Xenopus tropicalis: one gene and its partner. The protein of the gene in region 2 binds, or shares a complex with, the protein of the main gene of each other region. Links are inferred from orthologs where the notes say so. Each region holds a gene or a part of one and is shown on either strand. Other genes may lie near its edges.

Region 1 (4,400 bases), on a different chromosome or scaffold from region 2:
CCATGTGGGGGTTGGGCAGTCGGGGCAGGTCTGGAGGATGGCGCTGGCAGGAACTGGGAAGATTGGAGCAAAACAACATCAGAATTTCCATTGCTGGTTTCTAACTGGGAGGAACATGTAGGGATGGGATGAAATAACTTCCATGTGAAGGTCTGGTGATGGGACTGGGCCTGGGGCATGGTATGAGGGCAATGTAGAGAATCAGCCCCACTTGCTACATTTACACTCACTTTCACACACTGCACTTGCTCCTAAGGAGCTGCCCTGATGCTGGATGCTTTGTAGAGCATGTAAAGGGCCACTTACCCCACTACAATCTGTTGAGCTGAGGCTATTGGCTACCAAGCCATAATGGCCTTTTGCTACTGCATTGCCTCACCATTGGATCCTTCCCTGAATTGGCCAATCCCCACTCTCTAGGTCCCATCCCCTTTGTTAACCTGTGCATGGTTCCTACCTGTCCCCCAGCTCTTAGAGAAACACCCACCCCAAGACTAAGGGAGATCCATCATTCCCTTCCTTTACTTACATGAAGACCAATTGCAAACTGTCTCAGAATAGTTCTGTCTACTTCATACAAGTTAAATGAAAGGTGAACTACCCTTTGAAAGCACAACTTTGTGGCCACAAAAGGTCAGGATCCATTAAAAACATAGTTACCCAACAGTTAACCCTTCGGTGTACCAAAGAACAAATAAACATTCACTTAGCAGTTCTTAGTCTCACTGGGTTTTACCTGCACCTCTAGGGAATAACCCACATAGACTACAGGTCATCACTTCCAAATTACTTGGGCTAAGGGGGCGCCATTTCATGTAACCAACAGATATTTATACTCGAATATCTCTGGTTCCTGTAGCCCATTGATAACTATAGATTTCAATGAGCATTGAGTTAGGTAGGAGAGGGATTGTGCCTAGGGCAACCATGGCTATATGTCTTCTATGTACTTGAACAACCTTTAGCATTTGTATTAAAGTGTTAGAGAACTCACCTTGGGGTAAGTATCAGTCACTCACTAAAATACTAATGATGTTCCATCGCCCTATTAGTATATTGCATGGGGGAAGCAAATGGAGGTCACAGGGTATTTGGGAGGTCTCACAACTCAGTAGATTGTCTCATTTTTCTCTTTAGTACTGACATGGAAATGTAATAAATGCCCCAAAAAATTTGCACCACATCTAGTAACCCATAGGAACCAACCTGCAGGCACCTGTTTGACACCAAGCATCTGATTGGTCACTGTGTGCTATTAGAGCAGGGGCACTCTGTATATATGATTTCATACTTTTGATTGGAGCTTCCATATTGCTGCTTTGGTGGAGTCAATTGACATAGAGTTGGACAGAGCACAGAAGACAATGAAAAACCCAGAGTGGGGGCAACACCCATTGTCTTTCTAGTGACTTAAATAGAAATAAGAACAACATGTAGGAGGGAATGGGCACCTGTGAGCCCAGTCTGTACCTGACGCAGTGGTGCAGTTGTAGTTCAGCAGCTTCTGTACCCTCCAGGGTAGGGATAGGAGAATAATAGCCTTACACTGGCCAAACACCTACGGCACAAAATAGACATAAGTAGCTGTACCTCCTACTTACTCCTTCCATTTATATAGAATATATACATATCTGAGCAGTGTGGCATCTGGGAAATGGGGGGGGGCAAGTCTTGGAGTCCAATCACATGTACAATAATAAAGCAGTTGTATGGCATTGAGCTGGCTGGCCAGTAGAGGTGGGACAATCAGGTCCCCTGGACCCATCATCATGTGTAAGTAAGTGCAGCTCATTATTAGTCTCAAGCATTTGGCCACTAGTCCTCTGTGACTTCAGTAGCCGTAGGGGGGCAGCTGGGCAGAGGGTTGGGAAGAACAGTGGTGCCATAGTGCAACTTACCCACAAATGGAAGGAGGAAGGCTCACTGCAATCTTTCCATGATTTCCCACTCAGGACAGAACAGGTGGTTTCCAGGACGTCTATGGTCAGGTAATATATGGTACTCGCTGGGTATAAATGGGACTGGACCTGAATCCAGAAACAGTTCTTAGTATCATATTATGCAATGAATACTTGTTCCTTTATCTGTCTGTAATCTGGATCTCTCTCTGTCTATCTGTGGGCCAGTGGGGAGCTTGGTGCTGGGGTTCTAGGTTCAATACAACTGGGGGGCAGTAGGAGTGTGCTGGGGTGTCCCAGGGGTTCCCTTAAGGGGGCAGATGATAAAAGTACAAACAATGTGCATAACCATTGCTGTAATAAACCCCCAAATGAACCAAGGTTGATGTCATATTTATCTTAAAGGGACCCCAAGGGCACTTACCTCCTGCTCCTGCGCCTCAACTACATGGAGGGGTTTGAAGACAAAACCAGTGCGCCGATCCTCATTGATCAAGTCCAGCGCTACCCCTGCTTCAAACTCAGTAGCATTGCAGTCTATTGGGCTCACAACAGGCGATAGTGGGCTCTCAGCCCGGCACAGGGGAACCAGCACACACAGAACCAGGATACACAGCCGCTCCATTGTGTCCTCACTCAACTGCTGATACCGTCTCCTCCTGGGGATGGAATTATATAGTGTTGCACTCTGGGATGGAGAGGGGGGTCTCTTTGCACAGTCTCATATAAAAGGTTAATGAGTACGTGGGGGCTGAGTTGCTAAAATAACAAAAGGGCAACAGGTCAGGGTCCTCAGTAGCAACACCCTGTTCTTACTACTATCTACTACTGTTTGTGTTTCAGCAGATTCCATTGGCCTTTGTTTGTTCTTAGCTCATCAGCCATCAAACCGCAGGGGCTTCCCTACCCATTCATTCCAGTGAGGGTAACTGGGTAACTCTTATTGGATTGTTCCAACCATGCAGATGGACATTATCAACATAAGGTTTCAGTTGGTCATAAAGTATCAGTGGTGATATATTCCTTGGGCATAGACATATTAGCAGTTTGTGCCAGACCAGGAGATGCAATGGGCAAGCAGCAGAACCCCTGCCAATCTATACATACAATACATATGGCTTTATTATTATTATTATTATTAACATTTATTTATAAAGCGCCAACATATCCCGCAGCGCTGTACAATAAGTGGGTTACATACATTGGACATACAGAGTAACATATAAAGCAATCAGTAACCGATACAGGAGGGGAAGAGAGCCCTGCCCAAAAGAGCTTACAGTCTACAAGGAGTAACATATAAAGCAATCAATAACCGATACAAGAGGTGAAGAAAGCCCTGCCCAAAAGAGCTTACACTCTACAAGGAGTAACATATAAAGCAATCAATAACCGATACAAGAGGTGAAGAAAGCCCTGCCCAAAAGAGCTTACACTCTACAAGGAGTAACATATAAAGCAATCAATAACCGATACAAGAGGGGAAGAGAGCCCTGCCCAAAAGAGCTTACAATCTACAAGGAGTAACATATAAAGCAATCAGTAACCGATACAAGAGGGGAAGAGAGCCCTGCCCAAAAGAGCTTACAATCTACAAGGAGTAACATATAAAGCAATCAATAACCGATACAAGAGGGGAAGAGAGCCCTGCCCAAAAGAGCTTACAATCTACAAGGAGTAACATATAAAGCAATCAGTAACCGATACAGGAGGGGAAGGGATCCCTGCCCAAAAGAGCTTACAATCTACAAGGAGTAACATATAAAGCAATCAATAACCGATACAAGAGGGGAAGAGAGCCCTGCCCAAAAGAGCTTACAATCTACAAGGAGTAACATATAAAGCAATCAGTAACCGATACAGGAGGGGAAGGGATCCCTGCCCAAAAGAGCTTACACTCTACAAGGAGTAACATATAAAGCAATCAGTAACCGATACAGGAGGGGAAGGGAGCCCTGCCCAAAAGAGCTTACACTCTACAAGGAGTAACATATAAAGCAACCAGTAACCGATACAGGAGGGGAAGAGAGCCCTGCCCAAAAGAGCTTACACTCTACAAGGAGTAACATATAAAGCAATCAGTAACCGATACAGGAGGGGAAGGGAGCCCTGCCCAAAAGAGCTTACAATCTACAAGGAGTAACATATAAAGCAATCAGTAACCGATACAGGAGGGGAAGGGAGCCCTGCCCAAAAGAGCTTACACTCTACAAGGAGTAACATATAAAGCAATCAGTAACCGATACAGGAGGGGAAGAGAGCCCTGCCCAAAAGAGCTTACACTCTACAAGGAGTAACATGTAACATATATGGCTTCTATCTATTCCCTGCCCCCACCCCCCCAACAGATTCCAAAAAAACCTCTCACACAGGTTTCTTTTATAATTTGGTTCCACTGTTTTGGGGGGTGAAACCCACAAAGCTGACAAGCACCCTTGAAAATGATTCACTGTTTAATTTAGGGAAAACCCACTGGGAATAAATGAAAAGAAGAACCTGTAA
Region 2 (3,407 bases):
CACAGCCCCAGTCCCTTCCCAGAGGCTATTATCCCCCACTGCTACTATAGGCACCATCTCTCCCTACTATACCTGCTATCCCACAGCCCCAGTCCCTTCCCAGAGGCTATTATCCCACTGCTACTATAGGCACCATCTCTCCCTACTATACCTGCTATCCCACAGCCCCAGTCCCTTCCCAGAGGCTATTATCCCACTGCTACTATAGGCACCATCTCTCCCTACTATACCTGCTATCCCACAGCCCCAGTCCCTTCCCAGAGGCTATTATCCCCCCACTGCTACTATAGGCACCATCTCTCCCTACTATACCTGCTATCCCACAGCCCCAGTCCCTTCCCAGAGGCTATTATCCCACTGCTACTATAGGCACCATCTCTCCCTACTATACCTGCTATCCCACAGCCCCAGTCCCTTCCCAGAGGCTATTATCCCACTGCTACTATAGGCACCATCTCTCCCTACTATACCTGCTATCCCACAGCCCCAGTCCCTTCCCAGAGGCTATTATCCCCCCACTGCTACTATAGGCACCATCTCTCCCTACTATACCTGCTATCCCACAGCCCCAGCCCCAGAGGCTATTATCCCCCCACTGCTACTATAGGCACCATTTTTTTCTTACATAAATAGAAACATACCTTCGAATTCCAAAAACAGGATCAGATCGTCGTTCTTCAGGAAGTTCCTCCTGTGCAACTGGCTGTGGGATATAAAGGTGCTCCAGCCAAAGTCAGGGGTTCTGTAGCAGTCACACGTAGGATCGAACGTTCCAATGAGGGAAGGCCTTTCCCAGCGTGATATGTTATTCATTGCTGCACAGAAACACAGAAAGCTTATTCAAAAAATTTCGGCACAGAAGCGCAAATGTATGACTGTCCCTGAAGTATGTGCCATTGGGTAATCCTAAATAGGAAACTGCCATTTTAAGTACTAAGGGCCGCCCCCTGGGATCATAGGAGTCACAGTGCACACAAACAAGCCAAGGCACACATACATGCTAGGCCCCATCAGCCAATGAATGGGCCGGAGTTCAGCCTTTTGCTCCCACACTACTTCCTGTTACAGTTAGAGCAGCATCACTTCCTGTCAGCTGATCTCTGAGGGAACACACAGCCCATCACAAAATGGCGGCTCAAGGGAAAGGATGTAAAAGGGCAATATTTACTGATATATATATTCCAGTTTGGCTAGATTCTATAATAGGCTCTTTATATGATATAAAGCAACTCTGGTTCTAGTACTCATTCATTTAGTACACAGTTTCCCTTTTACAACTTTGGGGAAATCGTTAATGGCACTAAGAGCTTATTTGGAACAGGGTCTCCTCTGACAATGGTGGGTCACATATCTTTCCCAGATAGAAACTGATCCCTGCTCTTCCCACTTCCCCCCCCCCATAACCTAGCAACTGGGGGGCCGCTTAGTAACAGCAATTTTGGTGACGTCTGAACCTAAGGAGCTTACATTCTATGATTTGAGAACTCAGGGTTGTGAAACTCCTGCTGGACGACATCCTGTGCTGTACATTGGGGTCCTGGTCGAGCACTGTGATGATCGCCTGTCTGTTCAAGGCCGGCCATTCCATGACATCATCGTCCTCTCCGCTGATCATGTGGAACGAGATCCCCGTGTAGTTGACATAGGGCGATGATGCTTGTCCATGGGGGTAAATGGTTATGCCATAGGCGTACCCCTCGGGGCTGTAGAAAGGATTGCTCATTATACGATCTCCTTTAGTTGTGCTTTCCAGGATTTTGGAGAAATCCTTCACGCGCCATACAGTATTGGGGCATGGGGTTTCAGTGAGGCTGATATCATCGAGGGATATACCGCCGCTGGTCTTGTTATTACCGTGGATTCCTTGGAAGACGTAGCGGAACTTTTTATTGGCGTTGAGGGTCACGTGAGCAATTTTCCAGCTTCGGTCACTATCACCTAAAAAGAGAAAAAGTCTGAAGGTTATATTACTATTAACAGATATGTATGTATATGTTTATTTATAAAGTGCTACTTATATACGCAGCGCTGTACAGTAGGATACATTAATACAAACAGGGGGTTAATAAGATAATAGATAAATACAAAGTATAACAATAAATACAGATAAATACAAGGTACAGTTGCAATAAGTTAAGAGTCAAAGACACAAGAGGATGGAGGTCCCTGCCCTGTAGAGCTTACAATCTATATATGAACAAAAGGAATTCTGGGAATGAATTCCAAACTCCTAATAAAAAATCCCATTTACATGGGTTTATCCTATAGGCAGTGGGTGAGCTTTAGCCTATAGGATAAAACCATGTTTTTTTTAGGAGCTTGGAATTCATTTCCCAGAATTCCTTTTGTTCATTTGTATCTGTATGCGGCAGTCTCCTCAACCTTAATGATTTGTTTATTAACAGATATGGAATGCTCATTAACTCTGATTAACTGCTGATTCGGTGCTGTATATACGGGTCAAGATAAGTAGATATGCTCTTCAGTGCGTATTAAAAAGTTAGTAAATTGATTATCTTTTCCGAAAACATATATCTATATTATGTTCAGCAGAGAGGTAGTCATTAAGCATAACCCAGGGCTTAGTGGAACTCACTATATATAAATCATACATCCTCCTGAAAAAGGACCATGCCCTTAAAGGAACAGTTCAGTGTAAAAATGAAAACGGGATAAATAGACAGACTGCGCAAAATAAAAGAAGTTTTCAATATAGTTAGTTAGGCAAAAATGTAATCCATAAAGGCTGGAGTGGGCAGATGTCTACGATAAAAGCCAGAACCAATCAGTACTTGAGGGGGTCCATATGGGACAGATTCAAATACAAACTAACTGACAGTTATGTCCCATATGGCCCTCCCTCAAGTCACTGGTTGGCTACTGCCTGCTAACAGCTTAGAGAGCTGTAAAGGGGGAAGCAGTCTTCTGGCTATTATGTTAGACATCTACTCACTCCAGCCTTTATAGATTACATTTTTGCCCAACTAACTATATTACAAATATTTTTTATTTTGCGCAGTCTTTACCCAGTTTCATTTTTACGCTGAACTGTTCCTTTAACCCACCCAACATACAGCCAGAAATGTTCAGACCCCACCTCTAGCCCCAAATTTTGGCTAGCATTTCTAGCAGTTATGTATTGATACTGGTGTAAGGGTGGCATCCTGCTACCACAAGGACACTTCATCAATGTGGCCCAGAAACATTAAAGTGCCCCATTTTAGTGCTGACAGTACCATAAATGGTGTGAAGTTTCCTCATCTTTCTAACATTTCCGGCACCATCATCTGTCTTTAGCCAGATCACTAGTCTGTCCTGGGAACTTCCATCCATCTTGTAGAAGAACTGCAAGCACTGCTCGGATCGCTTGGGGTACAGGATCCGGGACTCGAGGAGGGCAGTGCTGC

Evidence for each region.
Region 1: the proteins of mep1a (region 2) and fetuin-B are in contact, whole or in part, in a cryo-EM structure (PDB 7UAI), measured with the Homo sapiens proteins. The link is inferred for Xenopus tropicalis from reciprocal best matches to the Homo sapiens genes MEP1A and FETUB. Residues at the interface, in NP_005579.2 of Homo sapiens: Asp126, Gly127, Cys128, Trp129, Ser130, Glu131, Val132, Gln145, Gly146, Cys147, Tyr149, Ile152, His155, Glu156, His159, Tyr164, His165, Gln167, Ser168, Leu184, Gly186, Tyr187, His189, Asn190, Asp192, Tyr194, Tyr214, Gln215, Phe217, Ser218; in NP_001362516.1 of Homo sapiens: Phe109, Phe110, Lys144, Lys145, Tyr148, Met149, Thr150, Cys151, Pro152, Asp153, Cys154, Pro155, Ser156, Ser157, Ile158, Ser196, Ser197, Gln198, Trp199, Val200, Val201, Gly202, Tyr205, Phe206, Thr242, His245, Trp246, Phe249, Val250, Ser251.

Annotation. Positions count from the first base shown.
Region 1 is NC_030677.2:1,142,166-1,146,565, forward strand, and holds the start of fetuin-B, read right to left. Parts: upstream 2,905-4,400; 5' UTR 2,524-2,904; coding exon 2,323-2,523; intron 2,028-2,322; coding exon 1,899-2,027; intron 1,559-1,898; coding exon 1,471-1,558; intron 54-1,470; coding exon 1-53. UniProt on the Homo sapiens protein: Protease inhibitor required for egg fertilization.
Region 2 is NC_030681.2:146,900,904-146,904,310, forward strand, and holds part of mep1a (meprin A subunit alpha precursor), read right to left. Parts: coding exon 3,237-3,407; intron 1,939-3,236; coding exon 1,468-1,938; intron 816-1,467; coding exon 642-815; intron 1-641.